3 linked regions of the Neurospora crassa OR74A genome follow. The protein of the gene in region 2 purifies or fractionates together with the protein of the main gene of each other region. This does not show direct contact. Links are inferred from orthologs where the notes say so. Each region holds a gene or a part of one and is shown on either strand. Other genes may lie near its edges.

Region 1 (3,559 bases), on a different chromosome or scaffold from region 2:
AAGAAGGTGATCAGTTCTTGCAAGGCATGCATCATCCGGCAAAACGGGGTTGGCAAAATAAATGTTCGCGTCGTCTTAAATAGACTACTGGTCTCACGAGACTAGTGCTTGACGGTCAGCCGGGGGCAGGGGAGTTTGGAGTTTTGGTATAAATGCATCTTGTTTAAAGGCGATGATACTTGGATGATGGCTTTCAACGGTCATGGGAATTGGTATCAGCGGGTTATATGGAGGTACCTCACGGCATTATGGCAAAGTGCGCTTTCTCGTCAACTGAACCAGATGTTCCCCCAGCCATACGTTCCCTCTGCTAAGCTCATAACCCAAAATGACAACCGGGCTCCCTTAGCCACACTTTGGTTGTTCTCATTGTTGTCCTGTCGCTACATGGGCTGACGAGGAGAGGTTGTGAATCCGTGGGTTAGGGTTCATCATGAGCCGAGCGGACGAGTTCAACAAAAAAAGATAAGCCAAAATGAATTGTCCGGTATGTCGGCTTCTGGCATCTATGTCTATACCACCAGGATCCTGTGATCTTCTACACAGTACACTGCAACAGCAACTTCATTACATTTTGCAGAAGTTGAACTGTTGAAACAAGCCCCAGTCTATTCTACTACGCCCCGCAAGTGAGCCTCTTTGGGTACCTTGCATATCGCAACAATGATGAATCATAATGAAAATGGCGGTAGTGTACACTACCAAATGGGAAAGCCACTGCAAATCTGATTGGGCAAACAAGCTTTAGGAGGCGGTAATGGGGTCGGGTAGACGTAGAGGATAGCTTCCATGTCGCTGTAACATAGTGGGCTGTGTGGCAAGCCTTTTGCCATCCCGAGGGTGGCTAGGCACTGCTCGCGTAGCCTTACGAGGATTGCTCCAAAGTGTCTGAGTCACCGGTGATTGAAAATGAAATTGTATCGATGCAAGTGCACTAGAATTTCGACAAACTCATACTTCTCGATGGCAAAAATGGAAGGGTTTGAGTAGAGAGGTTGGGTTGGTAAGCCGCATGTATGCGTCCATGTCTTGTTGTTGAAGGCAAGTACTGGTACATACATCTGTAAGGGTCTTGGTACCCGCTTCCAAAAGCTGTGTGGTTCTTCCTCAGTCCAGATTCCAGATTTGATAGCGCCCCACTTTACACATAGCCTGGAGTCTGAATCCAGATTATATTTTCCTTCCATCGCCCACCCCACCAGTCGTCATTCGCGAAGCAGCAAAACGGCATTCTATACCTCCAATCTCCATTGCTTCAGTCGCATAAACTCAATCTCTCCGTCTCTATCGGAATACCACTTCACCCACCAAGTAAAGGAAGCCCACTAGGAGCACTACACAAGAAGAACCGAAGCCATGGCTGTCCGCGCCCAGTTCGAGAACTCCAACGAGTAAGTTTTGCTTGGCCTCCACGTTCCGAGATGGGGAATCGCGATGCGAAAATCGAAGATCTGCCCCGCCTGCCACCGACGACGACATCAATACCATGCTTCGACACCGCGACAGCAAGGCGACTCTTGAATCTGAATGGGGGGCGGAGGGTAGTTCTTCGGGATATCAAGTAGCAGACGCGCTAACATTGTCTGCTTTCTCAATAGGGTTGGAGTCTTTTCCACACTTACAAACTCTTACGCTTTGGTCGCCGTCGGTGCCAGCGAAAACTTTTACAGCGTCTTCGAGGCCGAACTCCAAGATGTTATCCCTATCTGCAGAACCACCATTGCCGGCACAAGAATCATCGGTCGCTTGACAGCTGGGTAGGCGCTTCTTCCCTCTGCATTTTTGATTGAACTTTTAGTCCCAAGTATCGGAGGGGGCGCAACCGAGAACCTGATTATGGGACATTGGTAAGCTAACCACGAGTAAAAAAAAAAATTACAGTAACCGCAAAGGTCTCCTCGTCCCCACTACCACAAGCGACCAGGAACTGCAACATCTGCGCAACAGTCTCCCCGACGACGTGCGCATACAACGTATCGAGGAGCGCCTGTCGGCCCTGGGCAACGTGATTGTGTGCAACGACCACACGGCGCTGATCCACCCGGATCTGGAGCGCGAGACCGAAGAGATCATTGCCGACGTGCTCGGCGTCGAGGTGTTCCGCCAGACCATTGCCGACAACGTGCTCGTCGGTAGCTACATGGCGCTCAGCAACCAGGGCGGCCTCGTTCACCCCAAGACATCCATCCAGGACCAGGACGAGCTCAGCTCCCTGCTCCAGGTACCGCTGGTGGCCGGCTCCGTCAACAGAGGTTCCAACGTCATCGGCGGTGGCATGGTGGTCAACGACTGGATGGCCGTCACTGGTCTTGATACTACGGCGCCCGAGCTGAGTGTTATCGAGAGCGTGTTCAGGTTAGGAGAGGGTGCCGCGCCTGGCCAGATCAACTCCAGCCTCAAGGATACCATGGTCGAGTCTTTCTACTAAATCCAATGGTTTTTCTTTTGTGGGCTTGTTTTGGAGTTGGTGTTATCTGTGCTTGGTAGGCAAGGAGAAAGGAAGGCAATGTGTGAGGCAGGAGGGAGCGGAGGCGAGAGATGGATGTGTAGGAGGCGGGATTCTTGTCAGGTATACCAACGACAATGGGTCGTTTCTGACATGCATGCTCAAGCGTGAGCAAACAAGGCGATTTTTCTTCCAATGAATGGTTCCTATGACTGGCGTTTTTGCGTGAGGATATGGATATGTGTGAAGATGACCGTGGTTGTGGCTCGGCCTGGATTGCGAGATTGCTTCGAGTTTTGGAAATGCCATCTGGAATGAAAAAAAGCTTCCAGTTGACATGGCCATGGCCGTTCAGAATAATCACGAAGTATAGATACTCTTCGAGGTTCAGTTAACATGTGACATATAAGTCCAGAACGCGGGACCAATGTCTTTGGGATTTGGGGCAAGGCACGGTTTTCTGCCAAGGGTTAGGGTTGTACTGGTAGTTCTTGGTTCACCTGTCATCCAGTGAAGAAGACCAACTGAAACTCCAAGCTCGTCCCCTATGCTCTATGACGGGATCATCACCTCCTTTTACGAATGCAAATCCAGACGCCAAGCGAGATGCCTCTTGAGACAATTCCCCATCATCAATGTTTACAAAAAAACCATCATGCAAAAACACAGTACGGCATGTACCACACCCGATGCTGCCTCGAGTGCCAGGGTTGGTTGCGATCGCGGCGGTTGCCAGCAAGCAGCGGTGATGCAGTGTTTCATCATGCACGATGATGTGGTTGTCCGTTCCAGGGACTCGTGGGACCCAGCATTCGTCAACACTTTGTTGACCTGACATGTCCATATGCATAGAATGGGGGGCTATAGAATGCGTATAATACCTACCACGAGTCCAAGTCCACACACAACGACATGGTAATCCACGGCGGCTACGTATAATGTCTCACTCGAGAATCCTGCTTCTTCTTCTGGAAACGGCTTGGTATGTGATGGGTGGAAATAATTTAAACCACGCAGCTTTATTCCGCGATGCCCTGACCGTTGAGAGACATGCAGCTTGTGGCAAAAGATGCGTGGACTAAACTACTAGACTTAGTCATGAGTGGAAATATC
Region 2 (3,826 bases):
GATACGTACCACTTCGCGCCAGGCTGGACAACCTTGACCAGCTCGAGCTTCTGCAAGTCGTAGCAGCGAATTGTTCGTTGAGTGGCGACGAAGAAGAGAGGACGGAGGGGATGGAAAGACGCTGTCTGAGCCAAGCCAGAAAGCTTGCGGAAGGGAATCTGGGTGAGGTGCTTGGAGAGCGTATGGATGGCTACGGAGCTCCTCTGTCCGGAAGGCGATACTGTCGCAAAATGGTCTCCTTTCCTGTGCCAGTTGATGACCTTCACGGTCGACCTGACTGTGATCCTGATCAAGACACCCTCATCCTCGAGCTTAGCACCGGGGCGGGCCCACTTGGCAGGAGGCTCCTTGCCGGGAGCAGCGCCGTGTTGCTGACCGTTTGTAGCATAACCGAAGCCAGCCGACAGGATATCTCTGCTAGCCTGGTCCAAAGCAGGAGTAACGCTGGCGTGTGTAGGAACCATGAGGTAGACATCCTCACCCACAGCAGCGGAGAGAATGAAAGAGTCCTTCGCGGGCCTCCACCTAACGGTGTTGACAGCCTCCTCACTGCTGAGCTTGACGGACCAGACTTGGCGACCCGTCAACAGCTCCCACACACGTACCGTACCGTCGTCGCCACCGCTAGCGACAGCAACACCAGTAGGGTCGATGGCAACGCTTCTTACACGGCCGTCATGGCCGCGGAAAACTGTTTGGGCAACTGTAGGGAAAGGCTTGAGCTCAGAAGGCGAAGGAAGCTTGGGCAGGAGCGAGTTGGGATCGATGTTGAGCCTGTTCTTCCGCACACGAGGAGCAAGGTAAAGGTCCATGCACCTCTCGAATCTCTCCTTGACGATCTCGCCATAACCGGGAACTTTCCGCAAAGAGTCGTATTTCTGAGGGAGATACTCCTTCTCGCGCTCCTCGGGGTCGAGCTTCTCCCACTCCTCTCTCTCCTCCTTGGTCGGTAGGTATTCTGCGGGCGGGTTGTAACTCATGTCGAAACCAGGAGGAGGCAGCTTGGGTGCCGGGATGTGCAAGGGGTTGACTTCTTGTGGCACCTCATCCTGCCAGATATCAAAGTACTGCTCCTCCTCTTCCTCCTCCTTCTCGCGCTCCTCAGGGGGCTTGTAGGGCAGGATCCTGCCTTCCCTAATGGCGCGAACAAGCTTCATAATCTTCTTGGCCTCGTTCTTGGAGGGGAGGAAGCGACGCTTGGGCTCAGGGGCAGCGCTCAGGGCTATTGACTTGTTAGTTGCACCATTTCAACAACGATAAGTGTAGATAGATTTTGACTTACGCATTTTCTCCTCAATACCAGTAAAGTATTCCACGGTTTCAGGGTAGGGGTTTTCCAGCTCGTTGGGAATCATACCCATCTGGACACGGCGAACAAGCTCCAATTCATCATCACTACGGTATGGCAGTCAGTAAGCGTGACCCGAAGAAACCGAGCAAGACAAAGGAGGATGGGTTGGGTGCATACTTGAGGTTGAGAGGGTTGCCGGTGTGAATATCCGTAAGGCCAGTCCAGCCCTTGGGCACTTCGATGCTGTCGAGGAGAGCATCAAGAGCGTCGCCAGTGGCCGGGCGCATAATCTTCTTGCCGTTGATATCATAGCCGATATGGGGATAGCTGTCGTAGAAGCTCATGGGGATGTTGCCGATGGTGTTTGGCGCTTCTTGGGCATCGGAATCGTCCGAATCGTAGACGGGGTCGATCTCACTGTTGCATTCTCGAGTTAACTATGCTGGCATGGAACGATATTTGATCCATTTGCAGAACAACAACATACTCGTAGACGTAGCGCTCGTTGCCGTTCGCGTCCTTTTCGATCCGATAGTTCTTGTCTCCATCATCCTTCTCCGGCCGCTTGGGGTCGACTCCGGGTATCTCAATCTCGAGTTCCTCTTCTTCGTCCTCGAGAACAAGTTTGCCCATTGCCTTGTCGCCCTCAGCATCGGAGGGAATGTCGTCGCTTAGTAGGGAGCCCTCCTCATCTTCGTCGTCGCTGGCCTCACTTCCGCTTTCCTGCTCGCCGTCCTGTTCGTGCTCATTGTCGTCGAAGTCAGAATCGAACTCGTCTTCGCTCTGCGACAGGGCGCCGTCAAAATCGGGTGCAATCTCGTCGTCGGACTCAGGCTCGGCGTCCTGGACCTTTCGCTTCTTCTCGGTGGCTTTTGGCCCCATTGTGAATGTGTGTTGATTTTTGGCGTGTTTTCTGCTGGTAAAACACCCAGATAGCGTCGCAGCGATAGGCGTCGAAAATTCCTAGCATACGAATTGGCCTGGGACTTTTTTTTCTGCCGGTTCTACAGCTCATGGCGGGGACGAGTTGGTCTCACCGCCCTTGGCATTTCTGGCAGCTAAAGAACCATAACATATTACCCTATCGGTTTAGCGTGTCAAAAGACAAATGAAGCCAGGAGCATGCACTCCGTGTCTCCGTCCCTCTGATACCGACTTCAAATTTTTAGCCTTATTTGTTACTTGTATATCATGGATGAGATGAATACCGAACTCCAACCTCGATGCAGCATCCCTCTGCACCCCTACACCTGGCTTCAACCACGCACGATTCCACTTCTGTAGTTCGTCCTGCCCGTTCTGTGGGTATTGGCAGTCAAAACTGGCAAACCAGCATCAATCAAATACCCGGCGTGATCAGATTGAGTCTCCATGGATCGCTTGTAATTACAGACTTTTGTTCGAATTTTACCCCATTGCCTCTTACACTACGGTTTTTGTCACCATCGCCGTCTTTTTGCGCTTTCCAAGCATGGCAGTTGACAATATGTAGTGTAGCACGACGCCTGCTAGGGAACCTTGATGGGCTAGGGTTACTCGACACCTTCACACTACACTACTGCCATAAAACCCACGCTATAGTCATCCCATAACTAGCAAAAGGACATCATTCATGCCTTTGGCCAGTGAGCCACATATATGTCCAAAGGCCTGGGTGTTTGACTGATACACTACCAGTGCCATTTGAGGCAACGCGGCAACAAAAGTCAGTCTCTGCATTATCTGTGTCAATTGCGGCTTATTAATATGGCATCAGGTCTGGCGCGACCAGGTGATCTTTGATTGCTTGCGTTGGCTCGTTAACATTGCGGGCCTGGAGCATCTTGTCTGAAATCTGCTTTCTTTGCCCTCCTCTGAAAACGAGTCGATCCTATCATCCTAGGTCCCTTGTTACAACGTACATATCCATGCTGTTTGCCCATCTACTGTGTACACCACACTAGCGTCTACATAGATAGTGTCTTGGAGTACCACCGGGGCGATTTCTGTGTCTTCTAAGCGGGGCTTGCGGAGAGCCTTAGACGTTTACCTTACCACTCAACCCTTTTTATCCACCACACATCTACGCCCGCGGAAAAGAAGGGGAGAAAAAAAAAGCAAAATAAAGGAAAGGCCGGTTGCGGAAAACAGCCATGATCTCAAACAGCGAAGTCACTAAGGAGAAAGAGCCGGTGAAACGCCGTGCCTGTGACGAGTGCCGTATGTTTCGTCCCGCTCCCCGTTTCGATCCATATATTCATCTACCTCTACCCTCTAGTCAGCAACCATGACTGCCCAACCGCACTAATGTATCTAAATTAACAAATGCAGGGACACGGAAACTTGCTTGCACAAAGGAACAAGATGGCTGTGCGCGGTGTAAGCGCGAAGGCGTTCACTGTAACTACTCGGCCCAGAAACCCATGGGTCGGCCAAGGAAACGTCCTTACGTCGACGTGGCCGAGGCATCGCGAAAGGAGGCAAAGACTGATGATGTTCCCCCCAGCGAGACGGCGGCCTTGACCTATCCTGTTTCCATGCCCTTTGATGGGACCC
Region 3 (3,600 bases), on a different chromosome or scaffold from region 2:
ACTTTTCGAGTACACCCATTATCATGATTACCATGAGGACTCATGGATACAGCATGCCAAGAACCAACAAAATTCCAATTCATCAAAAGGGTATATACGCCTCATACGCCTTTACGTCTTAGAAAATGAACCATTACCATCAACTCCCATTACCCAAGAAGCTACTCAATCATCAAACCCACCAAACTCTTCATCACTATCGTCCACCTTCTTCACCGGAGCCTTCGGCTTGGGTGGGTTCGCCGCAAGCGCAGCTGCCCTCTCCTCCGCCGCCTTGGCCTCGTTCCGTTTCCTCACCTCCTCAATCATCTGCTCCAGCTTGAGATGCTCCTCCTTCTCTTTCTCCGTCATCTCGCTGAATTTCTTGGCCTCCCTCTTTCTCCTCTTCTTCTCGCGCCTCTGCAGTTTCGTCTCCTCCTGTTCCGCCTTGCCGCTCCACGCCTCGTTCTTCTTGCGCTTGTCGCCCGTATTCTCTTCCTGTGCCCGCTTTGCCTTCTCCTCCTTCCACTTGGCCAGCTCTTCCTGACGCTTTTTCTCGCGCACCTTGTCCTTGAAAGGAATTTCTTCCGTGTTGATGCCCAGACCCAGAGAGCGGTCGATCTTGGCTTCGCGGACTTCGGGCATCTTGGGCAGCTCGAGAAGGCCGTAGCCCTTGGCTAGGTCGAGCCAGTCGAGGTCGGCGATGCGGAAGATGGAAGAAGCTTGGTGTTCGATGTAGGAGCGCGTCCAGGAAACGAAAGCGAGCTGGGCCATCTGGAAGATCTCGCGGTCGGCGAGGGCTTGCGATCGGAAGGCGGCGGAGACGCGCTCGACTTCATCAGGGGTGACGGAAATGGCGGGCTTCTCCAGGGGCGTGATGGGAGTTTGACGGACTTCAAGAAGCTGTACGTAGCCTTCCTCGCGACCCGGCTGGAGCAGAACGACGGCGAGACCCCGACGACCGGCACGGCCGGCACGACCGCAGCGGTGAATGAAAACCTTGGTGTCCGTGGGCGGGTCGTGCTGGATAACGAGGTCGACTTGGGGGATATCAAGACCGCGGGCGGCAAGATCGGTGGTGAGGAGGACCATGGGCGAGGTGGTGTTGACGAAACGCTCATAGTTCTTTTCGCGGACTTTAGGTTCGAGTTTGCCGTGCAGGGAGGTGACGGAAAAACCGGCGGGCAGGACGGCGCCGAGAATGCGGCTGAAGTACTTGACGGCCATGCATGAAGAGAAGAAGATGATGGATCGCTGGGGCCTGGGCTCGAGCTTTTCGAGGAGCTGGACAATTGCTGGCATTTTCTGGCTGGCTGGGGTAACAAGGTAGCTCATCTGTAGAGACATTGGTGTTTTCCTCTCTTGAATTATGCCACCGTCCTTCAGACTCTTCACTCTGACGGTGATCTTGTGTGGGTACAATAGACCAACTGTAATCAGCCTTTCAACGGCGTCACTGAGCGAAGCACTGAAAAGACCAGTACGGCGCTGCTTCGGAAGATATCCGAGAATGCGGTTGAGCTCGTTCGCGAAACCCATATCGAGAAGGCGATCGGCCTCATCCATAATGAGAACCTCAAATGTAGACGCGGGAGCCTTGACGTATGCGCTCGACAAGAGTTCGGCAAGACGGCCGGGAGTGCCAATTAGGAGATTCGGGGAAAGACGAAGGAATGTACCGAGATCCTCAGCAGCCTTGGTGGTGCCTCCGACAAGTAGTTGGGGGACAACGACAGGCTGGGTTGCTGTTGGGCGCTTCTCGTCGCTTTTGGCGTGGGAAATGGCTTCAGCGGAGGGTTCGTGAAACTTGACGAGGGAAACGAGGACATTGTAAATCTGGGTTGCAAGTTCGCGGGTGGGCGAGATGATAATGCCTTGGACATGGTTTCGCTTGGCTGGTTCTTCGCCGCGCAGGAGTTTCTGTTGCAGAATCGGTTAGCATATGATCATCCTGAGCTGGTAGACAGCAAGAGATCCGGCTTACCTCAACTACCGGAATCAAAAAGGCAAGTGTCTTTCCACTGCCTGTTACGGCCTCGACGACAACATCTTTATTTCCACGGAAGAGCTCAAGGCATGACTTTTGAACGGGAGTCGGCTGGGTAAAGCCCATGGAGGAGAGGTAGTCAAGAATCCATTGGGCGAGAGGAGGCGTGAGAGCGTCCCAAGACCTTGGAGGCTTCCGGACCTTAGTCTGTGGTTGGGTAGGCGCCATGTTAATTATGTGGTTGGCGGAGTATCGGGGCGTTGTAATCGATCCCTGAAGCTCTGCGTATTGCCCGTGGTGATAGCAGTGCGATGCTGTTGAAACAAAAATTGGCCTGGCGACCATCCAAACAATCCTTATCTTATCTGCCTATCGATAAAGCTAGCGTGAGCGTAACCTCGCAAGTTGCATACAGTACACAGCAGCCTTCACTTCTTTCGAATCCAATTTGATCGGTCCAAACCTAAAGATCTTCCCATTAGATTTCAGAAATTCGTTGGACAACTCACGACTTATACTAATTATATCCCAGATGTGCGCTCAAGCCGTTTTGTATCGTGAATATCAATAGACAGCTTTCGGATCTTCACGATCGTCTGTTGTTACTAGTGCAATTATCAGATATTGGAATGTGGGTCTCATCGAAGAACCCACGCAGCCACGGCAACCTGACAAAGGCTTGATCTTATTTGCTTACATGGTATAGGTAGTGTAATGCTACAACTGAAGGTGTCAATATTCAGCTCGACTAAGCTCCAGTGGCTCCCAAAATTGAAGTCTACGTCGTCTTCATCCAACCTTGTTTGACGACTGGCCGTCTGCTCAAGTCCATGATAGGCAAACATGCTAAGAACGCTTGAACCACTTTTACATGATGAGGAGATTGTGTACAAAGAAATCCCCATCAACCGAGATCGACCAAGGTGATGAACGTCAACGGTTGAGCAGAGTACAAAGTCTCTTTTCAACAAGGCACGGCAATATACTATGGTATAGGTATATCGAGCAACGCCTGGCATGAACTGAAAATGGCGGCATTCACGCCCAACCGTCTTCCTTCAGTTCAGTCTCAACTTCCTGTTGTCACATGCAAGGTCGCGTCGCTGTGTGCTGTTGCTGCTCTTGAAAGGCCACCACCCACCAATGTCATCACGCCTTGCCGCAATTGGGGTAACGGACCAGGGCAGTGAGCTGGGGAGCCCGGTGCAACCACCTGAAGCGCAACGCAGGACACGCGCCGGCTGATTCCCACTCGCACTCATGGCCGGGCATCCGCAACAGCCGAAATTTCTGTTCTTCACAAACACCGAACCACTGTCATTCGTCTATGATCGTCATCACTGGATCCTAAACCAAGTCCAGCCCAGGGTAACGTGCCACCTCAGCCACCGAGTACGGGTACAGTTTCTTTTTTTTCCTGCTTTGCACATCTTTTTTTCCTCTTGCTGTCAAGATACCCTTCTTTTTCCTGGACCTGAACCCTCCATATCCTATCGATTCGGCAGAAGAGTCGAAAAGAACCGACACTTGCCAGTCAGAAGCATCATTACTCGTCTTGATGCCACCACGGGTTTCCCTAATTTGCTGAGATACTGTCTGTCTTACTTGACTAAGGAACCCGGTCCATCTTGGTT

The links.
Region 1: the proteins of NCU03321 (region 2) and NCU09004 purify together in Saccharomyces cerevisiae (affinity purification with mass spectrometry; 5 studies listed by BioGRID). This does not show direct contact. The link is inferred for Neurospora crassa OR74A from reciprocal best matches to the Saccharomyces cerevisiae genes ERB1 and TIF6.
Region 3: the proteins of NCU03321 (region 2) and NCU03380 purify together in Saccharomyces cerevisiae (affinity purification with mass spectrometry; 7 studies listed by BioGRID, with this or other methods). This does not show direct contact. The link is inferred for Neurospora crassa OR74A from reciprocal best matches to the Saccharomyces cerevisiae genes ERB1 and SPB4.

Annotation. Positions count from the first base shown.
Region 1 is NC_026503.1:4,190,597-4,194,155, reverse strand, and holds NCU09004 (eukaryotic translation initiation factor 6), read left to right. Parts: upstream 1-956; 5' UTR 957-1,356; coding exon 1,357-1,391; intron 1,392-1,598; coding exon 1,599-1,757; intron 1,758-1,881; coding exon 1,882-2,428; 3' UTR 2,429-2,915; downstream 2,916-3,559. UniProt on the Saccharomyces cerevisiae protein: Binds to the 60S ribosomal subunit and prevents its association with the 40S ribosomal subunit to form the 80S initiation complex in the cytoplasm. Is also involved in ribosome biogenesis.
Region 2 is NC_026501.1:5,301,202-5,305,027, reverse strand, and holds the start of NCU03321 (eukaryotic ribosome biogenesis protein 1), read right to left. Parts: upstream 2,238-3,826; 5' UTR 2,174-2,237; coding exon 1,779-2,173; intron 1,709-1,778; coding exon 1,469-1,708; intron 1,396-1,468; coding exon 1,283-1,395; intron 1,223-1,282; coding exon 10-1,222; intron 1-9. Other genes in the region: ada-4 (all development altered-4), read left to right, coding at 3,424-3,490, 3,602-3,826.
Region 3 is NC_026502.1:903,952-907,551, reverse strand, and holds the start of NCU03380 (ATP-dependent rRNA helicase spb-4), read right to left. Parts: upstream 2,272-3,600; 5' UTR 2,195-2,271; coding exon 1,964-2,194; intron 1,900-1,963; coding exon 166-1,899; 3' UTR 1-165. UniProt on the Saccharomyces cerevisiae protein: ATP-binding RNA helicase involved in the biogenesis of 60S ribosomal subunits. Binds 90S pre-ribosomal particles and dissociates from pre-60S ribosomal particles after processing of 27SB pre-rRNA.